Linked DNA regions of Struthio camelus. The protein of the gene in region 3 purifies or fractionates together with the protein of the main gene of each other region. This does not show direct contact. Links are inferred from orthologs where the notes say so. Each region holds a gene or a part of one and is shown on either strand. Other genes may lie near its edges.

Region 1 (7,878 bases), on a different chromosome or scaffold from region 3:
AATGGCTTCGCTTTCCTTGTTTTCACAGGGTCCCCCCTACAAGTAGTCTTCGGGAATTTGTGACCCAGCAGTTTTAAACCCTTAGTCTAGCAGTTAGAGCAGGGACCAAGCTCTTCTCAATTTCATCCTTTGATCTACTTTGCTGCATGACTGTAGTAAACCTCTGATTCCTCTTCAGTAAAACAAGAAAAAAACAGTTTTGAAGTTCTCAGGCTGAGACACTTTGAACTTACTATTGAGAAAGGCTGAGCAATTGAAGTTCCCACCTACAGAAGCAGCAAGTGCCTAGGAATTTTGTATAAGCACAACACTAAAGCACTCAAAATGACTGGAATGCTTGATATTTTTGCTCTTCGCCTCTGCAACCCACAATGCCGTGACTTTGAATGAAGGTTATACCATTTATGTGCAATGGCAAAGGACAGAGACTTAATTTTCAAAGGGCCATTAAGGATCCATTGTAATGTTTTTGCAACAGTATTTGAAGGATTTACTTGAAAGGCTTCAGAAAAATGTGAAATATTGTCAACAACGCAAAATGTTTGTATCCATCAGCCAGAGGGAGGGAAAAAGTACATGAAGAAACTCAGCCAAGCCTGACTAGATGTAGTGGATCTTGATCTTTGTTCACCCCATAGTTAGATATTGCTCTCCCCGGTCATTTTAATGGTATCCTAGCCTTATCTCCTAAGGTGATCTCATTAAAGCCAGGAGACAAGCCAGCAGGGAGTGTGAGACCTGTAATTACAGCTGGAAGGTCGATAGAAATACAGTTACATACAATCACCTTGTGTTCTCTGTGTCCCCTGGTAAGTGAATTACCCTTTAAAAAGCCTGAATCCCTTTTGGATGCCTTTTTAAACCTCATTTATATAGAGGCCTCATGGTGGAACTCATCTCACCTTATCCGCACGGCGGCTGCTTTTGTTGCCTGCTTTAGTGCGCTGTAGGTAACTTCATCCTCTAGAGACTCTAGAGATAAGGGACAAGTGGCTGAGGAAAAACAGCTTATTTGGGTCCAGCTGCATTCCCTTGTTTTGCTGAGGAAGTAGGAGCTGCAGGAGCATGTCACCTCTGAAGTGAATGGCACTGCATTGTCCAGAGGGAAAATGCTCCAATGTCCACAAACCTAATTGCCACTAAAGAAGAAGCTTTTCAAGGTGAAGGCCAAAGTGTGGCGCTCGCTACAATACATGCAAAATGCTGGTGGAGACAGGGGATGCCATAGAAAGCAATACTAGGCGGGAGATGGGATTCTTTCCTATTCTAGGTAGAATCCATTACGGGGATCTAACGTCCTAGCTTTCCCAGCAAATGCAGCCCTAGGCTGTGGCAGCTGCAAAGGGGCAAAGAAGATTTGCTTTTCTGTGTTCAGCTACATGCCGCTTGTTAGCGAAAGCAGGAATAAGCCTGAGTGGAAGCTGCTATATCCAGCAGCAAGAGCAAAGGGCTTTCTGATCCTTGGACTCTTTACCTAGAATCTGCTGAAGCTATTCTACACGCCTACCACCTTCTCACTGTGACTCTGCTTTCCCATCCTTAATATGGGCATAATAAAACTCCCTGGTGTAAAACACTCTCAGGTTCCCAAAGTAAAAAATGCTACAGAAGGACTGTATGATGTACATGCTATTAATAACAGCAGTAGGCATTCACATAATGCCTTGCACTGTTTTCATAATGCCTATCTCCATTCATTGCATCTAGCACTACCTACCCCTGGAATTTGAGCAGCCCACAACTGCGCCAAAAACAACGAACAGTCAGAAGGAAAAAAAGCATATTGCATCAAATCTTCAAAAAAGATTCACAATTACTCCCAGCCTGAATTGAGCAGGACACACAAGCAAGAATGTTCAGGTGTTAAAACCCGGCTGGATTTAATCCAGTGGCAGGAGTGAAGTTCCCTGAGTGTTATCCCTACTTCTCTCAGCCACCCTGCCAGCGTTATCAAAAAGAGTTTGTAATTGCTTGTAGATACTGAAACCAGAGCTTTCCTATTTTTTCTTAAGCTAATCCCTCTTACACCTGTTTCAGGAGGAGAATACAAGTACTTTACCCTCTATGCCTGGTTTTACACAATGAATTTTCCTTTGGCCCCTAGGGATTTGCTCTTACTTTAAATCACCGCCAGTAAGAGAACTGGGATACGCTTTTCTCCTGAAAGAAGTCGTAGGTGTAAGTTTACAACACCACCGTTGCACATGACGGTTTCACATGATGAAGAAATGGCAACGCGTCGAGTATCCCAAAGCAAATGATGGATCAAATTTACACTGCTCCAACTCAGCTATACTGTTCAGGCCATAAGCTGTTTCACTTCAAGGGGCAAAATGTATTGGAAGTTGTTTGGAGGGGTTTTTTAAAATGTCATACGGAAGATGCCTCACAGCTACATTGAAAGAAACTGAAGTTTGGTAAGGAGTGAAAATGAAATGAGTAGGTGATTTCAGTTCAGAAATTCCCAACCGGTTCCTAATACCTCTCCCTGCAGCTGGCAAGATCTAGCCCTTTATGGGAAGTCTTAAAAGAAAGCCTCAAAGATGAGTAATGAGAGCTAAATGAGAGCTCTGCCTTGGGGTCAAGATGGTGCAGCTTGGGAGGGAGACTGCTGCCCAGGCGCCATGTGTTTTCTAGGTAAATGGAAAGCTTCTGTCTCCAAGTCTGTCAAAACAGTGCCAGGTCCAATAAAGACCACCAGCAGCACAAAACGGATCTTAGGCAGAACGCTAAAAACGGGACTCGAAAAAAACCTGCTTCCTTGCCCTCTAAAATTGCATCTGAGCTCACCACTCTAAAGTTTCTACTTTGAAGTTCACTGCGTTCAGTCTCAGAAGTGCCTCAGTACCGAGCAGGCAAAGCCACTCGTAAGCCCAGCTGGAATCCCAAAACATAGTGTACATTTGTCTGCATGGACTCAGGTGTGAAATGTCAAAGCAGGTCTAATGCAGAGTGAAGGACCAAGCTTCACAAATGCTGTGGAGCCTCCCATCTTCTTTTGAGACACAACCAGCAAGGAGATGGTTGTAGTGGCATCCCTACCCCTTGCATACAAGGGTCTGTTAGCAAACAGGTTGATCACAAAGCTCTCACCCAGGACCTGAAAGGCTGAAGTTGTCTTCTGCTGAGGGGGGTTTTAGCCCCTGCTTACTAGCATGGTGCTTAACTACTTGAATGTAAGCTCTTCTCTCCAAAAATGTTCTCAGCACCCCAACAGCTAATCCAGTGTGTTTGGGGCCATCGGCAGGGAAACCCTCCCATGGGGAAGAGGCTACTGAAACACCTCCGCGGTGGGGTCCCCTGGGTATTTCACAGCTCATACCAGGTCCTGTAGGCTCTGTTAAGCTGTCATGAAAAAAAAAAGAGCAGATGCTTGTTTTCTTTGTGTATGAAGACAGAATTAAAAAGCAAACTGATCACAGGCACAGAGTAGCAACTTTGGCATCCATCAACTTTTCTCAGATTTTTATGTATAAAAGGAACCATGAGGATCACCTAGTCATGCTTCCTGAGCAATACAGGGCACAGAAATCTCTCCCGTAACTCTTTGCTGAGTCCTGATCACAATTTGTAGTAATTACTGAACTTTAAAGCCTTTAGAGCTATTTTTGTCAAGTTTATTCACATCTACTGGCATACAGGATGAGCTTTAACCTCAGCTTAGCAAGTCTGAAGCATTTCAGGCAACACGTAACCCAAGCCTACCAAGCACCCAATGTGATAGCAGAGAAGCAGAGAATGACTTGGTTGGAAAGGGCCTTCCTGAGGTCTTGAATCCTCAGAGCAGGGCTGGCTTCAAAGTTAGACGGGGTTGCCCAGAACCTGGTCCAGGCAGACTGTGACACCTGCAAGGACACACCTGCACACACCAGCCTCTCTGGGCACGGTGCCTCAGCGCGGCGCCAGCCTCGCGGCAAAAAACGTCACCCCAGATATCCAAACCAGAACATGCTTTGCTAAAATTCGCATGCTCCACGACAAGCTGCGGGGGCTGGAACCGAACACGTCCCGCTCCTCTGGGTCCAGCCCGGTTGCAGGCCAGCGATGGCAAGCAGCTGTGAGGCACGCAGCCCTCCGCGCGGCCCCACGGAAACCAGAGAGGGGAAGAGCGGTGGCGTGGGGAAGCCCACGGCTCCCCTCGGCGTGCTCCCACTCAAGCAGGACAAATCAAGCCCCCATGCCTCTAGGGTTGCGTTTTTCAGGGGAAACTCTCTGGCTTATCTTCCCTGTGGTGCTTTTTGATGTCCTGTCGGGATATCAGCGGAGAGCGGTTGGACTTCTAACGCAAGGCTCTTTCAACCTGCGGCTCTCAAGCGCCGGGGAGCGATTCAATGTTTACTTAACGTAAAGGATACAGGACGGCTGGTTCCTATCGTGACCTTGGAGGCTCCTGTCACCACGCAGTTGCCACTGACGGTGAATAACGGCCATTAGCGATAAATTACGTCAATCTCTTCAGATTTCACGGGAAAGCCGGGGCAGCTGGCAGGAACACAGCCACCCCTCCCCAGCCCGGCCCGGCCCGGCCCGGCGCAGCCCGACCCAACCCGACATGGCGCCGGCGGCGGCCCCGCGAGAGGCCCCGCGCGGGGCGGCGGCGGCCGGGCCGCAGCGCCCCCCGCCGGCCGCCCCCTCCCTCCTCCCCACCCGCCGCACCGCTTTCGCTTTCTTGCGCGCCCCTCTGCCCGCCGCGCCCCCGGCTGCCGGGGGCCCCCCGGGAGCGGCGGCCGGGGCAGCCAAGGTGAGCCCCAAGGGGCAGCCGCGGCCGGCGGGAGGGGCCGGGCCCGCTGGCAGCGATCCCGCTCCCCCTTCCTCCTCCTCCTCCTCCTTTCTCCTGGCTGGGCGCCCGCGAGGGGCGGGGCGCGGCGCGACGCGACGGGGCGGTGCGGAGAGGGCTCTTTATGCGGCGGGAAGCCGGCCGCGCTCGGAGCTGCGGGTGGCTGCAGCAGGGGCGAGGAGCTATCGCCGGCGGGGGCACGGGGGGCGGGGGGAGAGGAAGGCGAGGCGGTAGCAGCAGCAGCAGCAGCGGCGGCGGGAGGAGGACGACGGAGCGGCGGGCGGGCGGAGCGCTGCCGCTATTGTTCCGCACCTGCCGCCGGCCGGGACACGTGGCGCCGCTGAGCCCCCGCACCTCGCTAGTAGCACCCGCGGGCCCCGCACGCAGCCGCCCGGCACCATGGGCAAAGGGGTGAGCAGGGGCGGCCGCCGGGAGCAGGGGCGCGGAGCGGCGGCGGGCTGGCGCCCCTGGGGCGCGGCGCGAGCCGCGGCGGGGCGGAGCGGGGCGCGGCGCGGCGCGTGCCCGGGGCGTGGGCTGTGCGGCCGGGAGTGGGACGTTCAAGGAGCCGCCGCCGCCGGGGTCCGCGGGCGGGCTCGGCCGGGGCAGAGCGGGCGGCCGCCTGGCTGCGGCTACCCTCCCTCCCCCCTCCATGCCCCGCCGGCCGGGTCCGTGCCGGGTTGGGAGGCGGGCGGGGAGCCGGCTTGGTGCCGCTGACGCCGGTGGTGGCGGCAGCGGCGGGGGAGCGGCCGGCGCTCTAGCGGGCGCCAACGGCTGCCGCGGCCGTTGGAGGGTGGTGCCGAGCGCCCCAGGGGCGGGCCGCGTGCTCCGTGAGAGGAAGTAACGGAGATTGGGGGGGGGGGGGGGGGGAGAGGAGGCGGCACGAAGGCCCCGGCAGACGGCGGGCCCCGCCCGCCTGGGAGGCCGTGGGGGAGGGCTAAGACGTGGTTCGCGGTGCCGGGCAGCACTTGGCGTTTCTGCCCCGGGGAAAGCCGGGGGTGGGGAGGAAAGGGTGGAGGAAATACTTATTTAAAAGTTGAAGCTAGCGGTTAGGGTATATTATAAATAGGCGCCTATAAATAGGTTTCGTTTTTTAAGGCTGAGCTCTTAGGAATAAGTCTCCCAAATCTCATCGGCCCAGGCTTGTCGCGTTCGCCTTGCGTTCACCCCCTGCGTGGTTTCTTTCTGCGTGGGCCGAGCAGAGGGTGGGAGTTGGGTGCTGTTCTTGAAAGCTGAGCGATGCCTCCTCCTGGCATGAGGCAGAAGTTTGCCGGAGCTTATCCTGTAGGAAACCTCTCGCCTACAGTTTTGGGGTGATAAGCCCTCCTTTTCTTTGCGCGTGCTGTTGGTGAAAGCATGCTCCAAGCTGAAGGTTAGCCTGTCAGTTTTCTTGTCAGCATGGGAACAGAAATGTGCTCTGGTAGTGATGTTAGTGGGCTGCCCTTTTGGAGCTCGGCTTGAAAGCGTGGCTGCTCTAATATCTTTTTGGCCGTTATAAGAGTACTTTAGACTTCTGGAGGCATGAGGCGCCAGGGGGAGGTGACAGGCTAAAAGGCCCTGCTTATTAGTGCTCATTTGCTTATTAGTACCAGTGAGAATGTGATAAGACTTGATGGACTGGGGAAGATGATCATTCAAGACTTTATCGTGTCCCTCCGGTTAATTGGTGTGATAAAGTCTCCCAGGCTGCTGTGCAGCAGTTTCTAGATACTTGAGTGAGGAGTTGTTTCGGCACTTTGTTTCCTTTTAGCTTTCTATATTATAACCCACAATGAAATGAACTCCTTAATTCAGATTGTATTTTTTGAATTAAAAATAAGTATTTGAAGGCTCTTGGAAGCAGAAGTCAATACTCTGGCTTTTGATCACAGTAGCAAACTTTGCAGTGTGGGGAGCAGAAACACCTCTTGGGTTGCTCTGATTTTGTTTGGACGAAACAGCAGTTTCTCTGTGTGGGTTTTTAGTTTTTATTTGTAAGGGGTTTAGGGTCTCTTCCCCTCCAAATACTTGCTCCTAGATGTTGCACAATTGACGGGGAATAGATTTTCTTCCTGCTCCAGACTCTTTCCTGGCAAAACTCATAATTTCTCTGCTTCCATGAAGACAGCATAACTGCAAGGTTCCTAGAGACACAGGGATACCACGATTGTTCCCCAGTCCAAACCAAGATTGCTTGATGGTGCTTGCTGCTTACAGTTGTTCTGCATTTCTGAAGTGCTGTTCAAATATCGATCAGGACAGCACAGTGTCAGGCAGTGCTGTATAGCAGTGGCAACATTGACGTGAGTAGCAGAACTGTGAATGCAGCTGAAAGGGCAGTTATTTGTGAAAGGGGACTGAGGAGCGTTCCCCACCACCACACGCCACCACCATACATCAAGCTCAGTATCCCAGTGTAATGTATTTCAGGCTACTGGGTGGTTTAACTGATAGCAGTAACTTGGAAGGAACAGGCACTGTACGAGATCATCTAAGAGATAAATATGGGGGGGGAGGTTGATAAGTCCTCTGGCTGCTCTAGTTCATCAAAGAAGCCTTAGAAAGCTTTCCTGACTAGGATGCAGAAGGCTTCATGGGGGAGTTTAGGCTGTCTTGACTTGACCGGTGGGAGCTAGATCTTTCTTTCATTAGAAATTAAGTAGCTTATGTGTATAATAAGCAATTTGGCCTGAAACTGAACCTCCAACATGAGGGGTAATACAGCAATGTGTGGCTGCCTCAGGCTTTCTGCTAGAAAGTCGCAAGATTGGCTCATTTGGCAGTGAGAAAGCATGCTGTAATAGGGATACCCTGAAAAAGGTGGATGTGAAAGAGCAAGAAGTTGGAAAAGACTGCATATGATTGCAAAACTGAACAGCAAGCACCTGTCCTGACTTAGGGTGCCCAGAAAGGAAACCTTTCTTCTTTCCCATGGAAGCCTAGCATTGAAGAGACAGTAAGTGTGTGTGACACAGACAGACCTCTCTTAAGTGCTTGCATCTATGGCTCTGAAGAGAAGCTGACTAGAGCATCTGTTTTACTTTAAATGGTAATAGGGCGAGGGGAGGGGCCTGAGCTGCCTGGGTATGTCTTTCAGCCCAAATAGCAGATCTATCAAAGGCTGT
Region 2 (6,963 bases), on a different chromosome or scaffold from region 3:
GGATTAGAAGGATTAAGATTAAGGAAGCCAGCTCATGAGGAAGACTACAATCATGCTATCTTAACAGCACATAAATGAGGACACCTGAACATCACGATCTGCATTACTACAGACCGCTTGCTTGATCAACTAATGGATCTTATTTATGTTCTTCAAATACTGCATTATGTACTCCTTATCTCTTCTGGTATTTCCAAGGCATGAGCATGTTCACAAAATGAAAGTAGAATATCTGTGAATATATGTAAAAAACTAAAAACAATTTTTTTTTACATGCAGTTAATATTTTAAAGGGATTGTTCCTCTAAACCCTTCCCTTAGGAAACAAAAAAACTATCACATTCGAAGGAGAACATCATAACTCAGAGAAGTCCTAAGTCTTGAAATGGATCCAGTTTAAAACATGAGCGGTATTTCCTCCTAAATACTGTATTCTGGACCTTTCTGGAGACAACCCATGCCAGGAAATTCTAACCCTGATCCAAACATTCATTACCTTTGGCAAGAAGACAAGGAACATGACTTCATCCTCTCAAACTATAAACAACTCACAACTTATATTTTGGACTTGTCTTTGCTAGCCAATTAAGCATTGAAAGGACATAATATACTCAGAGTGGACAAGGACCATTGTGTTCCTATGCGGGCAGTTGTCATCCTACAACATGATAGTACTGCTATTCACAGAGACCTTCCATAAACAAAAATGTGTGTTGTTAATATATTACGCTTTCATGATTATGACAACGCGGGGAAAACTAAACTTCATTTAGCTAGTGATCACCTTAGAAATAGTTATTCTCTGTAAAAATTTTACAGTATATCTGTACTTGGTTTAATGTATTTAGGTTGTTTTGGAAGGCAGTTTGTCTCACCCATTTCTCAGGTTTAGACAAAAGCCTGGAATTTTAAACCAGACGTTGTAATTAGCACAGCTCATCAAGGCCGTGTTCTCACACAACCTGTTTTGCTCCTGGAAGACCATTCTGAAAGATTACAAAACTCAATTGCATATCCTGAGTCACCTCCTTTTTCCTCCAGAACGGGACTTTAACACAGCCAACAGCATGAGTTTTCATGGGAGCAAGGTACTGCTGTTGCCTGGGGGCGGTTGGGCAATAGTTGCCTCTTAAGGAAACAGGTAGAAATGAACTATGTTTTTGGAGGCCTAAATAACAGTTTTATTACTATCTTCAAAATATGCATCAATGTAAAATCTTGGGGTGTGACATTTATAAGTCATTAGGCTCTTAAAATTAGATACTAACTATTATGCTAAAGTAATAAGAGCAATCAGTCTTGTAGCACGCTGATGCGTTAGAAACGTGTGTAAACGAAAGGGCTGTTTTACCATAAAGTATTCTTCAGATAAATTTGATCAACTATTTTTTCAAGGTTCTTTGTAAGTTAGTAATAGACAGCAATACTACTCCGGTGGTATTGTAATTAACAGTGATAATAAATAGTGAATAATAATAGTGAATATAATAGTAATATAATAGTGAGTAATAAATGAAGTTACTGAAAGTATATTGTGGAATATCTAATCACTGTTTGAAACCTGGATGCCTTTGGGATAGGAGCAGCTAGAAGAACTGTCATTAGGTGTCATTTGCATTGTTCCTGCCAAGCCAAGGAAAGTATGATAAAAAACGTTGAGAACTAATATTTATTAAGAAACTTACTTTGATGATAGTAATAAAGGGCATTCAGCTCATATCTCCTTATTCTTCTTGTGTAAGGGATACCAGTTTGTATAGCAATATTAAGTTTCCTGTGACCATTTCAAAGGACAAAACTCATTTAAAAAAAAAGATACACTGGTCTATCTTTATATCTGTCTTTATCTAACAGTTTGCAACATCAGTACATAAACCTCTTTAGACTTATTTATTACTTATTTATTAGACTTATTTATTACTTATTTATTACTTATTTATTACCCAGCTCTTTCTCAGTCCACAGCACTGAAGGTAACAATCAACAAGACAGTAATTACCCCATGAAAAGAACAGTCATTTTTATTCAAGAGAAAATCCAGCTTTCAGTCCGATTTTAGAAGTTGCTTAGTGCTATTCTGCAAGTACACAAAGAATCATGCAATATGGAACAGATTGCACCTCATCACCCTTATTGAGTAGTTTTTTATGCTACTAGTAAGTATCTTCCATCTGGAGAAATACTAAATCGTCAAGCTCCTAATCCTAAGATACCGCATCATCTCCCAACCTGCTGAAAAGCAACACTTTCACAGCACTGCTAGGCATCACAGTGAGCCTTGTGGGAACCTGTATTTCTCCTAATTTTCATTTACTAGAGTTAGGGATATAAGAAAAATTAGTTTTTATTTTTAAAAAAACCTAAGATTTCAGTGCTTGTACAAACAAAGTCTGAAAGATTTACAGGCTCAGAATCCAGAATGTAAAGAATGCAATCTTAGATTTACTACTAAAAACATAGATTTTTCCATGGTGCAAGTAATGATTTTTTTAAATTTTACACTAACAACGTGGCTTTCAAGAAACACTTTTTGTCTGCAGAACCCAGTCCTTGATTTAGGAAATACATATATGCTATAATAACGTGGGAATTGACTCGCTTAAGTCTAAAATAAGTAACCTTTGTGCCAGCTGTGGAGTAGCACTCGCACACATAACACAGCATGCTAGAGGAGGAACTGATGATTACAGCGTGTCCTTGACAATGCAGACAGTAAAACTGCAAACTGGCAATTTCAAGAGAAAGATGCTGTATTTCAACAATATCTCTTTCAAAGGAACGCAACAAAACCGGTGCCAGGGAAAGAAGAGGCCAACAAGCAGGTAATTCTCCTGCTTAACTAAATTTTTTGGGTCCCCTGAAAATTCTGCTTCATCTCCTGCCAGTTTTTTCCCTCCCCTGCGAGAAATGCAGTCCCCGTGAACAACTTACCCATCCCAGGCTGTTCCCAGAGCACAACCCAAAAGCTCTGACCGAGCTGCTGTAACCCCTGCTCTCCGTCCCCTTTGCCCTCCGCCTTATTTACTTTCATCGCTTGTTGTGGCACATGCAACACAAACCTCGAACAGTTGCACCAGACTAGGAACAAAGTTTAGAGGTATCAGAGACTCCAACTACAGGCAAAAGAGCTTTTCATACTTGAAAAACAACATGCATACTTGTGGTGCCCTGTAACTAAAAGCATAGTTATGGCCAGACCCGTGAGGATGACTGAGAGAGATGCATTTTACCAGCTTGTCAGCGCACGGCGTGCTGTTCACACCGGCAGCACTGCCTACAGCGCCAGGATTCTTCACCCGCTTTCAGTGACACCTCCTCCCGGCTTGCTTTTGTTTTTCCATCGTCAGCTAAGACTTCAAAATGTAACAGTAAGAACTAGCTGTGACAACCTGAACGGCCAAACAAGTGTGTATCCACAGGAAGCTGGATATATTTGGTAAACAGTTGGAAGCTGGTGCATCTGTATTCCATTTCACGGGCGCTAATTGAGATAATAGCCCCTCTTCCTACCAGGCTTAATGATCATGTCCACACGACTGTGTTCGCTGCCCCTTAGCTCTGTTAACTGAATTCTCCCCTACTTGGGTGGCAGATTGCTTCTGCTGAAATTAGACGGGAAGAAGAGTTCCCAGCCCACCGCAGCTCTTCAGTTCTTGTTGGCTCCGGCCAGCTCTTGCTGTTGGGTTTTATTCAGCCGTTCACCGGGTGATGAAAGGCTGGGATAAGGGGCCTCCGAGGTTAGTCAAAGTGACAGTTCCCGGGCTCTCTGCAGCTTGCTGATGGTCCTGGCAGGAGACCACTTCTCCTTGCTATCAGCGCTGCTCCCCAAAGCTAGTTATTTTAAGTCACATCTAAACAAGGAATTATCGGCTTAAGATCAGCCTTTCTCTCCTGCAGCAGGTTCAATTATATGCAATACACATTAACTAAAAAGCAAAATTACATCCCTCTCACTTGAGCCAAAATCCTGTTGGCTCCAATAGGGGTTGGCTCCTGCTTAATTAAAGCGTTACTAGCACAGCTGTAGGTGTGTGAGTAAATACCTGGGGCAGCGGCGTACGCAGCGTGCCTGTTTGCACAGCTGAACACCAGACACTGAGGCAGAGCAGCCCTCACTTCAGACGCCACCCTGACCGGTAACGACTGACATCCTTGCCCAGAGGACAATATGTGACTCAGCACCATTTTTTGTGCCCTCTGCCTGACAGCACCTTGCTTGCTGGCTGTGTTTATTGGCCTTCTCTCCAGCTCATCCTCTAAGCGAAACACAAACAAACAGGCCAACAAGAAAACCTCTGTCACGGGACTCTCCACACTCCACAGTGTGCCCCGTGCACGGTGATTTCCCTCCTTGCTGTCAACACCCTGCATTTTCAAGCCATATTTGCTGCCTTCGCTGCCCTGGTCATCACGTAGATAATGGCAGCATATCTACACCGGCGGTTTTGCATCAGGTACGTTGATATAATCACAGCAGAGGCTAAAAAACCCATTGCAGTCAAGAGCTGAGAACCATGAAGAGGCTTGCAAATGAGGAAAAGGGAACAAAATGCTCTTAACACATCTGCTTTTTTTTTCTCCGTTAAGCTGTTTTATATTTTTATCCATCCCTAGGTTATCTATAGAATGTTATTACCCATTAAATGAAAAGACTTACATACTGAAATAAAAATACGTAAATATTGCATTTGCTAACAACCAGATCCCAACATCTATCTTCTTCCTCAGGCCCAGCTCAAGTAAAACCCTTAATTAAAGCAGTGGCTGAGTACTAAAAGACGACCACCAACAGACATTTCTCTGGTAGATACCACCAGCTGGTGAAGGTCGTTTCCACACGGCCAAGCCAGGCCCTCTTTTCCTCACCGCTGAATTAAAGCAGCATGGGTCAGTCCCATTCGCCGCAGAAGTCAGCGTATTTCTATTAATACCATCTGGATGAAAACTTCACTCCATACCCAAATACCTGAAGAGCTTAGGCAGGTCCAGGTGTGACCAGGTGTGACCCTCATGTCTGATTTTCATCCGCCGTTGAGCTCCCCGGCTCCTGGCAGTCCCTGCGGACCCACATCTAAGGCCGTGGGACGTTTCGTCCCGTGCGCGGGGCTCGCCCAGGCGCTCCTTCCCACCTCCTCTGCCCTTATCGCGGGTGGACCCCGGCAGCTCTTCCAGTTCGCTGCCTGCGTGGCCGTGCTCTCGGCCAGATTTCTGAAATGATTCAGTTCAAAAAAACAAACACAATGCACCTTCCCCCTCGGGGAAGAGGCAGGAACAAGTTAGGAGGGAGAATACCAGGAACCTGTAGTCACGGCCCGAGACTGTCATTACATTAGATTATGTACAATTAAGACTGTCTGCAATTTGGCATCTTTGAATTAATTTGTTCAATCCTCATTCACTTGCTTTTGTCAGAGGGGAATGATTCGAAAGCAGCTTAAGTCACTGTATTGGCTCAACACATTCGACTGCATATGAGCTTCAGCCATAAGGTCAGGCTCCAGACTCGCACTCAGATTCTAAGTTTAAAGGGAAAACGCCAGTCCAGACTCGGTTCTTTTGGGCTATGTCTTTAGTTACTAAGATTTATTTGAAATTGATCATTAATCAGGAATCTTTTGAAGAATCTAAGCAGAACAGAAATCCACGGGGTGTGGGGGGGCATATTTGCATTTCAAAAGACCTCACTTAATTTTATCAATATTACCGTACTTAGTAAAATACCTTTGAGAACCCAGGTATGCCTTGGGAAGGCATGGAGAAGCTGGACCAAAGCCACAAATAATTATAAGAATGCTGATGGAATTAATTTAAATTTAAAACATAAAACCCTCCCCTTTAGTATTACTAAATTTGAACTGGGATAGAATAGAATAACGGTGACCCTCAGATCGCTTTAAACAACAGTGAGCGAGTCTTTAACAGCCTTACAAGAGAACTAAGAAAGCCTATTAAAATCCGTCATTCAAAATCTCTAAGAGCTGAACAGAAATTGGATGGAGAAAGTTCTATCAATCATTTTAATATATACATACATACACACATGGCCATATACAAATATATATATATGGATGCATAAGTGGAACTGCCTATTTACTTACAAATTTGACTGTCAGATTACATATCCCTTCAGTGCTAGCTCCTTTGCTCGGAGCCCCTCACCAAAACTTAGCAGATGTTGAACAGTCCTTGTCAAACATTAACAGAACCTGGACATTATGTTCTAATTCTTTTTATTTTAAATGTTTATACATTATTAAAATAAGCCATCTATATAACCACGCTATAAACAGATGTTTTACCTGGGCTCAGACTGCTGTTTTAATGAAAAACAATTATTCAATATCTGATGAATTAAAATGATGTATTTGTAGGGAATACACAACTGAAAGCTATTTTTCTGTCAAAGATTTAATTGAAAGTTACTCAAATTAACAATGCCAAGAAAACAATAGCAGTATTGGCATGACATCAAAAGTCAGTCTTGATACGTTAAAAAGGTGCCTTTCATGATCAGAGAAGAGATTAAATTTTATGGAAGGTTGGCTGGGTGTTTGGTTTTTTGTTTTTTTCTTTTTTCAACAAGTCCTGGAAACTGGGTTGTAACTCTGGAGGGAAGCCAAGAGTGCAGTTTTCACTTGCAATCAAGACTACAGCCTAGAACAGAAGAGGAAACAAATCCCCTCTGCAGTGAGAGCTGGAGGGAGAACAAGCGTGCTCTGTCTGGCAGCAGGTGGTAACGGGGGAGCCCAGTAACAACCAGTGGGGATGGTTATATGTTACACTCCAATTCATTTTCTTTTTTTTTTTTTTTAATGCAAGCGATCTGAAACACAGCTGTCCATCTGCACTCCCCGATGACAGCTGGTTTGCCTTCTCACAGATTAAGTCAAAGCCACCCAGCCTCTGTAACCCATTCAGACCACCACCCACTGGTGTCCACGTCTGGCTCAGCGCCATTTCCGC
Region 3 (8,013 bases):
GGCTGCCCTCCCACACGGGCGGGCTGAGAGCCAGGGCCACAGCAGACAGGAACGGGGCCACAGCGCAGGGCCACGGGCTCCCCCGCAGCAGCGGCCCCTGCAGCCCTCCGGCACGTCACGGAGCACCTCCTGCTGCTCCGGGGCACCCAAGCTGGCTCGGACAGGCCTGATCCCTCTCACAGGGGCAACGTATCAGTCACCACTGACCAGGGATCCCTTCAGCTTGCAGGGCCCTGCAATAGCCCCAGAGGTATTCAAGGTCCCCGTGAGAAGGGAGAGACGACGTGGGCTAAGAGGGGACCCCTGAAGGCAGCAGGGAGGAAGCAGGGAATGGCTTCTTGCCACTGTCCTGCCCTCCCCGGGCAAAGCGTCACAGCACAGGCGCCTGCGGCAGCAGGGAAGGTGCCATGCGGCTCACCCAGGCGAAGGTGATGCACGTGTGGTACATGGGCGAGGAAGGCGGGACGGAGGCTTTGTAGCGGTGCAGCATCACAAAGCTGGCGAGGCCATTGAGGAAGGAGGCGAAGGCAGACGCGGGCTCCTGGAAGAACAGGAAGCGAGAGAAGGGCCACTAGAACAAAAAAGAGGAGGGAGACGGACGACAGAGACGTTAGCGGTGTGGATCGCACTATTCCGCTGGCCACGGCTCTCAGCAGCTGCTGGCACAGGCCTCGCAGACGTGGGAGCCGGGCTCTGGCTGGGGATCAGCACCCCCATCGCGGGGGGCCCCCCCCATGGGACTCAGGCCCTGATGCTGGAGCGGCCCCGAGGCGTCTCGAGCACGCCTGGCGCCGCGGGAAGAGGGAGCCCCTGGGTGGTGCAGCGGCTGAAGGCACGGGATGGGGGAGGACAGCCTGGTGCGCGGGGCGGCCCCGGGCCTCGGGGGCACGTTTCCCGCATGCGCGCACGGCGCTGGGCGCCGGCCCGGCTCACCTTGCCGTGGAACTGAGGCACTTTGTAGCCGCCCTGGACGTAGACCTGCACCGTGAGCCACATGCACTCGTACTTGCAGTCGTCTCGGCAGGTCCAGCCTGCAGCGGCGGGAGAGGAGCTGGCGGCCAGCACAGGCCTCCGAGGACGGGGAAGGGTCCCTCGGGGGCTCAGCCCTTCCCGGGTACCCCGTCCCCAGTCACAGAGCCCCCTCCAGTCAATCCCAGTGCAGACACCGGTGTGACCGTTAGGCAGCGCAGCCTGACCACCACCGCAGCTGGGGGCTCTGGGGCCCAGCTCGAGGCAAGGAGAAGCCCACTGGGGGTTGCCCTGCCCAGTTGGGGAGATCCCCACTGTCTTGGGCACAGGCAGGGGCAATGTCCAGGCTCCAGTCTTCCCCAGTATGCTCCAGTGCCCCCCAGCAAAGCCCAGCACAGCCCAGTGCCCCCCAGCATACCCCAGTGCCTCCTCAGTATAGCCCAGTGCACCCCAGCATGGTGCTGCACCCACCAGTAGCACTCAATGTCTTTCCACAATGGTTCAGCACTGCCCTGCAGTCCCCAGCACAGCCCCAGCATGGCAGAGCACCCCCTAGCATGGCCCCAGTAAGGCCCAGTGACGCCCAGCATGCCCCTAGTATGGCCCAGCAAACCTCGGCACGGCCCAGCGTCCCCCAGTATCCCCCCAGCATGGCCCAGTGTTCCCCAGCATGGTGCCAGGATGGCCCAATGACCTCCAGCACGGCCCAGTGCCCCCCAGCACGGCCCAGTGACCCTCAGCATGCTTCCAGGATGGCCCAGTGTCCCTCAGCATGGCCTAGTGTCCCCCCAGTATGGCCCAGTGACCCCCAGCATGCCCCCAGTATGGCCTAGTGTCCCTCAGCATGGCCCAGTGTCCCCCCAGCATGGCCCAGTGAGCCCCAGCATGCCCCCAGTATGGCCTAGTGTCCCTCAGCATGGCCCAGTGTCCCCCCAGCATGGCCCAGTGAGCCCCAGCATGCTTCCAGGATGGTCCAGTGCCCTCCAGCATGGCCCAGTGACCCCCAGTATGCCTCCAGGATGGCCCAGTGTCCCCTAGTGTCCCCCCAGTATGGCCCAGTGACCCCCAGCATGCCCCCAGTATGGCCTAGTGTCCCTCAGCATGGCCCACTGTCCCCCAGTGTCCCCCCAGTATGGCCCAGTGACCCCCAGCATGCTTCCAGGATGGCCTAATGACCTCCAGCATGGGCCAGTGCCCTCCAGCATGGCCCAGTGACCCCCAGCATGCTTCCAGGACGGCCCAGTGACCTCCAGCATGGCCCAATGACCCCCAGCATGCCCCTAGTATGGCCTAGTGTCCCCCAGTATGGCCCAACGACCTCCAGTATGGCCCAGTGATCCTCTAGTACGGCCCGGTGGGGCCCCACAGCCCCGAGGCCGCTCGCCCGCCCCGTGCGAGGGAGGGGGCGGAGCTTCCGAGGGGCGGGACCTCGGCAGGAGGCGTGGCCTCGCCGCGCCCAGCCAATGGGTGCGCGGGGCGGGCCCGGCCGTACCTGTGAGGCTCATGTAGAGCGGCTGGCGGGCGCGGAAGTGCCGCAGCGCCGCCCCGGAGCAGTTGCGCCGCTCGCAGCTGGCCAGGCAGTCCCGGTACAGCGGCTCCCGGTCGCCCTGCGAGCCGCGAGCCGGGCCTGGCGCCGCCGCCGCCCCCAGCAGCAGCAGGAGCGCGGCCCGAGCGGCCCCCCGAGCCGCCATGGCCGCCCGGCCCCGCCGTTTCCGGCCGCTGCCCCGGAAATGGCGTAGTGCCGCGGAGCACCACGGGATATAGCGCCCCCTCCCCAATGGCGCCGCGGAGCACCACGGGATATAGCCCCCCCCCAAAATGGCTGGGGAGTATAAGGGATATAGCGCCCCGCGTTGGCCGGGGAGGATCACGGGATATAGCGCCCCACTGTGGCCGCGGAGGATCACGGGATATAGCGCCCACCGCAACGGCTGGGGCCATCAGGGGTTATAGCGCCCCCCGATGGCCGTGGAGGATCACGGGATATAGCGCCCCACTGTGGCCGCGGAGGATCACGGGATATAGCGCCCACCGCAACGGCCGGGGGCATCAGGGGTTATAGCGCCCCGCGATGGCCGCGGAGGATCACGGGATATACCGCCCCACTGGGGCCGCGGAGGATCACGGGATATAGCGCTCCGCCGGGGGGGGGGGTCACAGGGCCGGGGTCAGCGCCATGGCCGGCCCCAGGGCCTGGTGGCTCCCGCCGCCCCCTCGTGCCCCAGACGGTCCCGGGTTGGGGACAGGCGTCAGCTCCAGGCCACCTCGGCAGAGACCCACCACCTGCTGCCAGGCTGTCCCCCTGTCCCCATGCCCTAGGACTGGCCCCACACCCCAGGGCTGTCCCCATAGCCTCGGATTGTCCCCCTGTCCCCAGAACTGTCCCCACGTCCTAGGACTGTCCCCACATCCTAGGATTGTCCCCATGCCCCAGGACTGTCCCCATAGCCCAGCACTGTCCCCCTACCCCAGGAATGTCCCCATGCCCCAGGGTTGTCCCCCTGTCCCCATACCCCAAGGCTATCCCTGTGTCCCCATGTCCTAGCATTGTCCCCCTACCCCAGGCCTGTCCCCATACTCCAGCACTGTCCCCGTGTCCCCACACCCCAGCACTGTCCCCCCGCCCCAGCACTGTCCCCCTGCCCCAGCACTGTCCCCGTGTCCCCCCGCCCCAGCACTGTCCCCACACCCCAGGAATGTCCCCATGCCCCAGCACTGTCCCCGTGTCCCCCTGCCCCAGCACTGTCCCCCCACCCCAGCGCTGTCCCCATGTCCCTACACCTCAGCACTGTCCCCCCACCCCAGCGCTGTCCCCATGTCCCCACACCCCAGCACTGTCCCCACACCCCAGCGCTGTCCCCGTGTCCCCACACCCCAGCACTGTCCCCCTGCCCCAGCGCTGTCCCTGTACCCCAGCACTGTCCCCGTGTCCCCCCGCCCCAGCACTGTGCTCCTGCCCCAGCACTGTCCCTGTACCCCAGCACTGTCCCCGTGTCTCCCTGCCCCAGGGCTGTCCCCGTGTCCCCACACCCCAGCACTGTCCCCATACCCCAGCGCTGTCCCCGTGTCCCCCTGCCCCAGCGCTGTCCCCGTGTCCCCACACCCCAGCACTGTCCCCATACCCCAGCGCTGTCCCCGTGTCCCCCTGCCCCAGCGCTGTCCCTGTACCCCAGCACTGTCCCCCTGCCCCAGCGCTGCCCCCATGTCCCCACACCCCAGCACTGTCCCCCTGCCCCAGCGCTGTCCCCATGTCCCCGTACCCCAGCACTGTCCCCGTACCCCAGCACTGTCCCCGTGTCCCCCTGCCCCAGCGCTGTCCTCCCGCCCCAGCATTGTCCCTGTACCCCAGCACTGTCCCCGTGTCCCCCTGCCCCAGCGCTGTCCCCGTACCCCAGCACTGTCCCCGTGTCCCCCTGCCCCAGCGCTGTCCTCCCGCCCCAGCATTGTCCCTGTACCCCAGCACTGTCCCCGTGTCCCCCTGCCCCAGCGCTGTCCCCGTGTCCGCACACCCCAGCACTGTCCCCGTACCCCAGCGCTGTCCCCGTGTCCCCACACCCCAGCACTGTCCCCCTGCCCCAGCGCTGTCCCCGTGTCCGCACACCCCAGCACTGTCCCCGTACCCCAGCGCTGTCCCCGTGTCCCCACACCCCAGCACTGTCCCCACACCCCAGCACTGTCCCCGTACCCCAGCGCTGTCCCCGTGTCCCCCCGCCCCAGCACTGTCCCCCTGCCCCAGCGCTGTCCCCGTACCCCAGCACTGTCCCCGTGTCCCCACACCCCAGCACTGTCCCCCTGCCCCAGCGCTGTCCCTGTACCCCAGCACTGTCCCCGTACCCCAGCGCTGTCCCCGTGTCCCCCCGCCCCACGACCGCCCCCCCAGCGCCCCGCGGTGCCCCCCGCGCTCTCCCCCCGCCCCCCCAGGAGCGCCCGGGCCGGGGGCGACGCCGGCGGTGGCAGCGGCGGTGCCCGGGGCAGCGGCGGCGGGAGCGCGCGCGGGGGCGGCGGCGGGAGCGCGCGGCGCGGCCCCGCGAGGCGGAGCCCGGGAGCGCGGCGGGAGGAGGCGGCGGCGGCGGCGGCGGCGGCGGCGGCGGCGGCGGCGGCTCCGCGCCGCAAACTTTGGCGGAGCGGCCGGCGCGGGGGCCATGGGCCGCGGCCCGCGCTGAGCACCATGATCGCCGCCGGCGGCTGCTACCTCGGCACCGGGCTGCTCCTGGCCGCCCTCTGCCCCGCCGCCGCCGCCGAAGGTGGGTGCGCCGCTGCCGGGGCCGCCGGGGACACCGGGGACACCGGGCCGGGGCCGGGTCCCCCCCCCCTCCCTCCCCTCCCTCCGCCGGCGGCAGCCGGACTCGGCGCAAAGTTGAGCGCGGGGCGCGATCGGGGGCGGCTCGGGGTGGGGGGGGGGGTGTCGCGGCAGGGTGTCCCGGGGGGGGGACAAGGGGGGTCCCGTCGAGCCTGGGGGGGGGGCAAGGGGGTCCCGCTGATCCCGGGGGGGGGCAAAGGGGGTCCCGTCGAGCCCCGGGGGGGGCAAGGGGGTCCCGCTGATCCCGGGAGGGGGGGGCAAAGGGGGTCCCGTCGAGCCCCGGGGGGGGCAAAGGGGTCCCGCTGATCCCGGGGGGGGGCAAAGGGGGTCCCGTCGAGCCCCGGGGGGGGCAAGGGGGTCCCGCTGATCCCGGGGGGGGGGGAAGGGGGTCCCGTCGAGCCCCGGGGGGGGCAAGGGGGGGATCCCACCAAGCTCGGGATGGGGGGGGGACAAGGGGGTCCCGCTGATCCCAGGAGTTGGGGGACAAGGGGGGTCCCACCGAGCCCCGGGGGGGGGAGACAAGGGGGTCCCACTGAGCCCGAAAAGGGGGACAAGGGGGTCCCGTCGAGCCTGGGGGGGACAAGGGGGATCCTGCTGATCCCAAGAGCTGGGGGGCAAGGGGGGTCCCGCCGAGCCCAGAGTTGGGGGGGGTGAAGGGGAGCAGAGACGGGGTAAGGAGCACCCCCCCCCCCAGCCAAAGGAGGGGGGTCCCGGGGCGGGGGGCGCGAGGGGAGGTTGAGGCCGGGGGGGGGGTTCTCGTCGCCGCCCCGGGGCCGACGTCGCCCCGCGCCGTACGGCCAGACCCGCCACCCCGGCGGGAAACGCCGGCCGCCCCTCGACGCCGCGGGGCACGCGGACCGGGGCCGGCGGCGACGGGGACGGGACCCGCTCGCCGGCAGGCGTCGACGGCACCCGCCGGCCCTTGGCACCCCCCCCCCCCCCCCCCGGCGCGGCGCCCGCCCCAGACCTTGAGCTTCGGACCCGACGCTCGCTGCCAGGCGGCGCGGGGAGGAGGGACGAGATGGCGGCCGTGTCGTCCCCCCCCCCCCCCCCCAACAGGGCAGCTGCCGGGCCACCGGGCCGCTGTCACTCAGCCGCCGGCCGCTCGTCCGGCCTCCCCTCCCCGCTCGGCCTCCGCCGCCCTCCGGCCCTGCCTCGGTTTCCCCGCGGCGTCCAGGCCGCGCCGTGGGCCGCCCCCCCCCCTGCCTCCCCACCATCCAACCCCCGTTGTCCCTAGCAGACGGATGCCATGCCGGGCCGCCGGCCTGGCCCCCACCGAGCGGCCTCGACGGGGAAACCGAGGCCCCCGGCGGCGGGATGGCGGCGGCCCGGCCCGCCCCTGCGTCAGCCGCTCGCTCCCCAAACATGCCCGACCTGAAAAGGCGGTTCCTGCCGGGGCGAGCCGCGCCGCCGCCGCCGGCCGCGGGGGCCCCGTGCCACCCCGCCGGCCGTGACTCAGCCGCCCGGCCCAGGGCGGGCACCCGTGGCACGACGGCGCCAGTTCTCAGCTCACCACCCCCCCCCCCCCAAAACCGGTGCTGCTGTTTTTGCCCGGGGAGGGGGTGTGTTGGGGGGGGGGGGTGTCCCCAAGCAGTGTCCCCACCGCGAGCCCCACGGCCGGAGTGGACACCCTGCTCGCTCCGGGAGGGGGCCGGAGGCCGCCGGCGGGGCCGGCCGGGGGCTCCCGGCATCCGCCGCCGCTCAACAATCGGGTCTTGTCTCGGCGCTCCCCCCTCCCCGGCCGGCGTGGGCAGAGCCTTCCCGCTCCCGCCCGGCCCCGGCGAATCCCGGCGTTGGCGGGAACGTCGGCCCGGGGAGCCCCGCGGCTCCCCGACGCCTGCCCCAGGCTGGCCCCCGCCGCCCCGCTCCCACCTCCCCGGACCGGTTCCCCAGCCCGGCTCGGCCCCGGTGGGGTGCTGGGTCCCCCCCCCCCCACCCCGGGGTGCTGTTGTCCCTGGGGTGGGGACGGCCACGCGGGACGGTGGTGGTGGTGGGGGGGGGGGAGCGGCGGTGCCGGAAGCTTATAGGAAGCTGTTGGAAGCGGCTCCGGAGATCGCTGGCGGCGGCGGTGGCCTCCGCGGCATTTCCTGCGGAGGCCGGCGCTGCCGGCTCGCGTTCCCGCCGGTGCCAGCGCCGCGCTGACGTCCCGCTCTGTCCCCGCAGTGTGCACCGGCACCGACATGAAGCTGCTGCGTCCCTCCAGCCCCGAGAGCCACTACGAGACGCTGCGGCACCTCTACCAGGGCTGCCGGGTGGTGCAGGGCAACCTGGAGCTCACCTACCTGGCCCCCGACGCCGACACCGCCTTCCTCCAGGTGAGCGGGTCGGGGACGCCCCGAAGCGGTGGCACGGCCGGGACCCCCCCCCCGCCACTGCCGGGGACCCTCACGCGCCGCCCCTCCGCCCCGCGCAGGACATCAAGGAGGTGCAGGGCTACGTGCTCATCGCGGAGAACCGGGTGAGCCGCCTGGAGCTGCGGAGCCTGCGCATCATCCGGGGCACGCAGCTCTTCGAGGAGCGCTACGCCCTGGCCGTGCTGGGCAACGCCGGCCCCGCCGGCACCCCGGGCCTCGGCCAGCTCGGCATGAGGCACCTCACAGGTGGGCAGCGCGGCGCGGCCTGCTCCCCGGGATGCTTGGGGGGGGCGGTGGTCCCTCTTCGGGGTTGGATGCTCAGGTTGGGTGTCCCCATGGGGCTACCAGTCCCCCCAGCGGTCCCTGCCCGGGGCTGGGTGTCCCCTCTGG
Region 4 (6,921 bases), on a different chromosome or scaffold from region 3:
GTGCCGTCACTCAGATTAACAGACACTGTTAACTCAATTCCAAGCTTAACCAGGAACTGAGCAGGACCACAGAATTAGCATTAGAGCTGCTGAGCTTGCCCCCAGCCATGCTTGGACACATGCTGGAGACATGCAGAAGACTGGCTAGAGGCCAGTGGCTACGCTTCACTTTAACCTAGCAAAAAAGTCTCCCTGCTCAGCTGTAGGCAACTGTGGCTTCCCCGACACTTTGCAGAGGACACACCTCCACCTCCTATATCCTCCATACCTGCTCAGGGACCAGACCAACATATTTGCAGTTCTAGCCCAGGGTCATTTCACAGACTAAGCTCTTAAGGATCAACAGGCTTAGCCAAGCAAGCTCAGAGCTACCTCCTCCTGGAATACTTGTTTCAAAGCACAGATTACATTCAAAGGCTGGACTCACGGTTGCATGTGTTCCCTTCCCTCCCCCCTCCACCAAGTAACATAATAGAATGTTGATTGTCTTGATAGGCATCAAATCAGCTTCCTCAGCAGTACTTCCTCCTGGAACATTGTTCAAGGCTCACCCCCCTCCCTATCACTTTTTCAGCTTCCTGAAAGACTCAAGACATCGTAGCACTCAAACGATAACCCTCACCAGCACTCAACTGCTTTCTTAAGCCACCTCCACATCATAGGCAGGCAGCTACAGTGAAGTCTGTAGCTCAGAGTCACAACCCACAGAGTAATATCTAAGTGTTTTGGATTTGTTCTCTCCTGTGAGACTGATATGGACTCCACTGGATCGTGCTTCTGTTGCTGCAGTACTGTCAGCCCACCAACTTGAGACAAACGAGGGGAAAGGGGGTCTTACCAAGCTGGAAATTGCTGCTCTGGCATGGTCCATTGCTTTCTGGAGGAGCACCCACCAACTTGACCAAAGCCCTAGAAGTTTAGAAGGCAATACATCAAGTCAGGCTGCTCCCCTCCCACCACAGAAGAGGTCCAAGTCAGTCACCGTTATGAGTAGGATGCTTGTCCAGAACCATTATGTGCATGCTTCTATGTAAGTCACGACAGTTGCAGTCGGTCTATATCAAGCTCATCAATTACCCTTGAAATACAACCTGTAAGTTCAAATACTCCCACTGCAGATATAAGTTCAGATGGACAAGCTGAATCTTTTTGCTGAGCACTGGGAAGAGGGAAAGAGGGAGAAAAAGGAGGAACACAATCTCAAATGCCTAAATTCAGCCAAGGGTCTTATTAACGTTAAGGCCACCACCTTTTAGGGGGAGCTGGCAAAAGGCAGCTGCTCAGTGGTGACAAAGGACACTACTTAGCAAAGCAGCCTGTGGGGTCTGTTTCAATGACAGTATCAAGACAAGAGCTTGCCTGGTAGCCAGAAGTAGCACAATGCTGTAAGCTGAAGCAGCACAAATTCCCACTCTACAGAAACTCTTTCAACTATAAGGCCGCCTATAGACGGCTATGTTCTTTCTCTCTTTATGAGAGCAATTTCAGTATTTGGACAGTTTCCCTGACTAGTCAAGAGCAACTGTCAAGGCACAAAAAGCATTTCAGTGACTTCTATAGTTTGGATTTTTCTGGATTGTGGGCTTATCTGAAAGACAGAGCAGAACCTGAGTTACTTTAGCTTAAACATTTTTTCCTGGAAAGATATTTGATGAAGCTTTGCAAATTAGTGCCTAGACATTGAGGCACTGTGACAGCTGGCTAAGTTGAGAGCATATAACTTGCGCAGTTTCCTAGCAGCGCTACTCTAGGATATGATCTGTGAGTTTAAGCCTGGCAGAGCATTTGAACTGGTCTTCAGATGCACGTGGATTACTTTTACACCTGGGAGCTCTGAAGTATAATCAGGTTATCAGGAGCAGAGATGATCAAAGGTTAATGGTGGCCATCCATTGTTTCACCTTTTGCTTAGAGCAAGAGTACATGCAGATAAACCTCCTGGCAGCTTTCAGAAACCTGCCCCGATTGACAGTCAGGGGCCCAGGCACTCGCACAGCACTCGGAGCACAACAACAGGGCTGTGCACAGCCCCTGCAATGGACAGGGAGGGGAGCCCTCTAGAAGCAAAGTCAGATACCCGAGGGGAAGACTTCACCAAAGCTTCAGCGGGGCTGCCTTCCCGTCAGGAGGGGGACACATCAGCAGCGCGCGAGCACAGCACATACATGCTTTGCAGAAATCGCAGCGAGACCTTCCGCAGCCATCTCCAGCGGCTCACCACCCCCCTCCCCCGCCGGGGGGGGGCGGCGCCTCGGGGATATCACGGGCCCAGGGGCCACCGCTCCTCCCGCGGAGCCGAGCCGGGGGCTGGCCGCCCCGGAGGCGCTCAGCATCCCCCCGCCCCCGGCAAGGGAACAAGCAGAGCAGCGACCGCCCGGCCTCCTGGAACCGCGGGAGGGCAGGGCCCGGCTGCGGGGCCCCAGATAAGAAGACCCGGCGATATCCCGCCGCTGAGGGCACGTCTCGCCCCGCTCCGGCACGGCGGGGACGGCCGGGCCTGCGGCAACGGCCTCCCCCTGACGGCGCGGCCCGGGGCTCTCCCCGCGGCGCGGCGCGGCCCAGCCCGCCCTCAAGGTCAGGCGGACATGGCAGCCGCGGCGGCGGCCACGTGCGCGCCCGCCCCGCCGCCAAGCGGGGCCCGCCGGGGCTGCCGCGCCGCGACCCCCCCCCCTCCCGACCCGGCACGGCCCGCGCCGCCCGCCCGCCCCCCCCGAGGCTCGCCCTGCACGCACCGCACGTCGGCAGGAGCCCTCCGGTGGTCGGAGCCCGCAGGAGCCCGCGGCCACCGCCTCGCCTCGCCTCGCCTCGCCGCCCCTCCCCCTCCTCCTCCTTCCCCAACGGTCCGCGCCGGCGCGCGCGCGCGCGCGCTGCCGCCACCGCCGCCCCTCACGCGGCTCCGCTCCCCGCCTCACCCTGTCTCACCTCGCCGTAGCCCGACTGCCGCAGCGCCTGCCGAGGCGCCGCTCTTCCCCGCCACGGCGCGCCCCGCCCCCCGCCGCGCCCTCAGCCAATCGGCGCCCACCGTGCGGCCGCAGGCGCTCCCCCTCTCTGCCCTCCGCGCGCGCGCGCTTTGCCCCCCCCCCGTGCCCCTCCCTCCCCCTCCCGCTGTGGCTGCGCTTCGGCGCTCTGAGGGGGATTAAAGGGGCTCTGAGGGGGTTAAAGGGGCTCTGAGGGGGGGTTAAAGGGGCTCTGAGGGGGTTAAAGTGGCTCTGAGGGGGGGTTAAAGGGGCTCTGAGGGGGGTTAAAGGGGCTCTGGGAGGGTTAAAGGGGCTCTGGGGGGCTCAGTCCGGATCCGCGAGGCGGGACTGTGAGGGTAACGGCGGGTGCGGTGCGGGCCTTCCCCCCGCCCACCTCGGTGCGCAGCCCTTTGGCCCGACGGTGGCAGGTGGCCTGTGCCCTGGCGAGGTGCCCTGTGGAGAAAGCTCGCTCCTGCGAAAGGCGGGAGCCTGCTGCGCCGAGCGGGGCACCCAGGCGGCAGCCGGGCCAAGCTGCGGCACGCTCGGGCTCCCTGCTGCTTGCCGGGGGCCTGGGGCACAGGCTGCAAGCTGAGGCAGGCAGGGGCGGAAGCGCTTCTTGCCGCCTTTCTGCTTTGTGGCGGGAGGTGAGGCTCCCTGCGAGCTCGGGCTTTGAAACGAAAGCACTGCATGGCCCCATTGCAGCAAGGGCAGCGGGAGCAAGGTTAAAGCCGCTCTGTATTATCTTCCCCTTCCCACGTGCCTTGCAGCAGAGTTAATCGCATTTTCACTCAGGGGAGTTTTCATCACAGGCGCTTTTAGGGGAGCTCTCAAACAGCAGGGCTGTGCTGATCCGTCAAGTGGTAATTTATGCAAAAATAAAGAAGAAATTACAAGATTTTTGAATGAGGGGCAGTTAAATACCCGTACGGACCAAAATAAGGATGAGAGCAAGAAGGGGAGCGTGCGGCTCGGTGACTAGAGCCTCCTTCGCCCAGGCCCACAGCACGCTGGCTATAGGGCCAAAGTTACACCTGGGAGGGGGGGCTAATGTCCCTGCAGCCCCTCTCAGGGGCCTCATTGAGACGCTCATAATCCCCTTTTGGGGGTTAGATGACAATTTTTATTTACATCAGCGCTTAAACGGCTGGAGGGTGGCCTGCATCTTGTCCATGATGCTTACAGGAGTGGCACTGAAGGGATTAGGTCGTTGAGAGCATATTTACAGGCTGTATTTGGGGACTCGGACCCTGGGAGCATCTGAAGTGGCCTAAGGGCATTAGGGCACCTGTCTTGGGTGAAGGGGTAGAGCTCAATCTCCAAAAGGGAGCAGGTGCAAACTTGTATGCGTCCCTGTTTTATTTTTAAGGAACCTGGACGAATTAGAATGTGTCGGTCATCTGACAAAATAAAGATTTGGTAAACATTTTTCTTTCTGAATGATTCATAAGAAGAAGCAACACGTAAGGAGAGAGAGAGAGAACTTAGTGATTTTAGGGTGAAAATGGGAAACAGTATAGTGGGGGGAATTTGAGAAACCCATAAACCACACGTGCTGTTGGCAGTTTTATCTCCAGTTGTCAGTTTGATGCCAGGTTAAGCCTCAGTGGGTGGTGAAAGCAATAACTCCAGGAGCAATGAGGAACTTCAACAAGCAAAGTAACTGGAAACGCAAACAGATCATTCAGCCAAAACATGTCACGAGGACAGCCTGAACTGCTGACTGTGAGTGGTGGGGGGGGGGCATCACGCCACCCTACCAGCATCACTAGGGTGCCGGCAGGCTCCCCTGTATGTGATGGGGGCATGTTCCCACTCCCCCCGACCGCGCTTGGTCCTGTGGGGTCCTAGAGTGCCGTAAATGCTGAGCTAGGACAGGTTGCAGGAGAGCAGGAGCAGCCCCGGGGTGGGGGGAAGCCTGAGGTCAGAGAGACCAGGATGCTCAGCTCAGTGCCCTTGCTGAGAACTAGCTGATCCCACTGGCTGGGAAGGAAGGGAGATTAGTGAGCAAGCCCTGGAGAGGCGAGTGGAGAGCTCTGCACCACGGCACAGCCAGGTCCCAGCTGCGGCCCCGCTTCCCAGGGGCTCTGCAGAGGTGCTCTTTCTGGCGCTGGTCCCCGAGGACTGCCAGGGCTGTGATATTTACCTTTCTTCCTTTCTGCTGAAGGTTAATCTCATAAAGACCCTGCACTTTCCTGGGCATCTGCCTGGACCCTGCAGAACATCTCATCCTCATTGGACACATGCTGACATTTCATCTCTTCAGAGTTGCCCACGGTCACGAACAGGCCTTGGCTACAACTGCAGTCTCCTCTTCCTTGTCTGCCAGTGCTCTAGCATGAGTTGAGGTTACTGCTTCCCGTCTGTCATTGAATTCAGGGAGCCGCTCAAAGGAGTGTTGGTATCGGGTAGTGCTTCCAGATTTTGGTGTGCGCGTGTTCTGTGATGCTCCATTCATTTTTCCCTTGCTCAGTAAAGAAATAAGCTGGTACGCCTGGGTTATTACCTCAAATCCTCTCCAGGGAAAGCAGGATGGGAGCAGAAAGTTTAGTTTGGTATAACCCATGATTGCAAAGAGGATTATGTTTCGTGAAAAGAAATACATTCCTGCGTTGGTAAAGGGGGGGATTAACTAGATCTGAAACTTGATGTGGCTGTCTGGAGATAAGTCTCCCCTAAAACGGGGCCCAGGCGCGCTGACAAGATGTACGCGTGGACCAGCGTTCAGTTTTCTGGAGAAGGTTAGACCCAGGCTCTAGCGTAAATGGGCTCAGAAAGGGGTTAGATCATTCCTGGAGGATGGATACCCTGGTGGCTTTTAAACACAAAAGTCTGGATGCAGCCTGCTGCTCAGCCTCCAGCGGCTCTGACCCCTGGAGAAAGTAATCAAAGTAGAGCAGAGCAGAGCAGAGCAGCATTTGACTACCAAGGCCCGACAGGAGGAGTTTACACCCACAGCAGAACTCAGTCAGGCGCAGGAGATCCCAGATAACGGTGCTGAAATGCAAGCTTGTAAAGGGAAACTCCAATTTCTTTCTCTCCATGTCCTTCTTCAGCTTTCGTCTCTATTCCTTCTAGCAGAGCAGCTGCTATGTGCCACGTGGTACCAGCCCTAAACTCCCTTGACAAATACTCACTGCAGGTGTTTTCTGTTCTCTCTCGGAATATGTTTGGCCATGTGTTGTGCATTTCCACATTTTTACACCTGCCAGGAAAAGAGAAGAAAGCTGGTGCTTTAGAAACTCAGATATTTTTGCACCAGAGCTAGCTATGGTGAAATACCTTTAAAAAGACCATCCTTCAAATGCAACATGGTACCCATGGATGGAGGACTGCTGGCTTCTGATCCAGTACAGCTGAGGTAAAGTGGTCCAGTAAGATGCATGGACCCTCTGTATTTGATTATGGCACAGTTTAGGTCCATAATAATCAGGAGCCACTGCCAGTTCCCAAAGTCCGTGAAAAAAGCAGGAACTTTGAGTGTTTAAACTCTGAATCTGGCTGCTGCAGACTGTTGTTTGAGCCCTGCTGTGTCATGCTGTGCATATTTGCAGCTTGCCCTGAATTGTTTGCTTCTGCCCATTCTACTCCTTGCCTGGCCCATCTCTTGCTTGTGGTATTGCGTAGGGGCCTCCATGCTCGTTGCTCGTCTTGGCATCCTACTTTAGACTGGCTTCCGTCAGGTTGTTCCTCTTCGTTGTGGCTTGGCTCTGATATTTTAGATGTTTGTCACTGTTTTCTCTGAATTTCTGGGGTGCTTGTGACTCCCCTGACTTGGGCTCAGATGACTCCATGTTGCCTTTGGGCAATACTCCAGCATGCGATGCTGTCCCTCCTGCAGGACTAATGTTGAAACATGAGCCCAAAATGTGGGGGCAATTTCACTTCAATGTCAGAGTGGCTGACACTCATGTGACCAGCTGTCCTACCCACATTTTAGGAAGGCAGTTAAAAAGTAGAGAGAAAA

The links.
Region 1: the proteins of ERBB2 (region 3) and ATP1A1 purify together in Homo sapiens (affinity purification with mass spectrometry; 4 studies listed by BioGRID and IntAct, with this or other methods). This does not show direct contact. The link is inferred for Struthio camelus from reciprocal best matches to the Homo sapiens genes ERBB2 and ATP1A1.
Region 2: the proteins of ERBB2 (region 3) and ACSL3 purify together in Homo sapiens (affinity purification with mass spectrometry; 3 studies listed by BioGRID and IntAct, with this or other methods). This does not show direct contact. The link is inferred for Struthio camelus from reciprocal best matches to the Homo sapiens genes ERBB2 and ACSL3.
Region 4: the proteins of ERBB2 (region 3) and TFRC purify together in Homo sapiens (affinity purification with mass spectrometry; 3 studies listed by BioGRID and IntAct, with this or other methods). This does not show direct contact. The link is inferred for Struthio camelus from reciprocal best matches to the Homo sapiens genes ERBB2 and TFRC.

Annotation. Positions count from the first base shown.
Region 1 is NC_090942.1:93,474,288-93,482,165, reverse strand, and holds the start of ATP1A1 (sodium/potassium-transporting ATPase subunit alpha-1), read left to right. Parts: upstream 1-4,876; 5' UTR 4,877-5,176; coding exon 5,177-5,188; intron 5,189-7,878. UniProt on the Homo sapiens protein: This is the catalytic component of the active enzyme, which catalyzes the hydrolysis of ATP coupled with the exchange of sodium and potassium ions across the plasma membrane.
Region 2 is NC_090950.1:12,443,852-12,450,814, reverse strand, and holds the start of ACSL3 (fatty acid CoA ligase Acsl3), read right to left. Parts: upstream 3,005-6,963; 5' UTR 2,932-3,004; intron 1-2,931. UniProt on the Homo sapiens protein: Acyl-CoA synthetases (ACSL) activates long-chain fatty acids for both synthesis of cellular lipids, and degradation via beta-oxidation.
Region 3 is NC_090966.1:6,625,715-6,633,727, forward strand, and holds the start of ERBB2 (receptor tyrosine-protein kinase erbB-2), read left to right. Parts: upstream 1-5,001; 5' UTR 5,002-5,137; coding exon 5,138-5,213; intron 5,214-7,432; coding exon 7,433-7,584; intron 7,585-7,682; coding exon 7,683-7,869; intron 7,870-8,013. Other genes in the region: PGAP3 (post-GPI attachment to proteins factor 3), read right to left, coding at 419-571, 934-1,051, 2,462-2,910. UniProt on the Homo sapiens protein: Protein tyrosine kinase that is part of several cell surface receptor complexes, but that apparently needs a coreceptor for ligand binding. Essential component of a neuregulin-receptor complex, although neuregulins do not interact with it alone.
Region 4 is NC_090950.1:21,219,495-21,226,415, reverse strand, and holds the start of TFRC (transferrin receptor protein 1), read right to left. Parts: upstream 3,015-6,921; 5' UTR 2,923-3,014; exon of another isoform or gene 2,913-2,922; intron 2,858-2,912; exon of another isoform or gene 2,733-2,857; intron 910-2,732; 5' UTR 872-909; coding exon 839-871; intron 1-838. UniProt on the Homo sapiens protein: Cellular uptake of iron occurs via receptor-mediated endocytosis of ligand-occupied transferrin receptor into specialized endosomes. Endosomal acidification leads to iron release.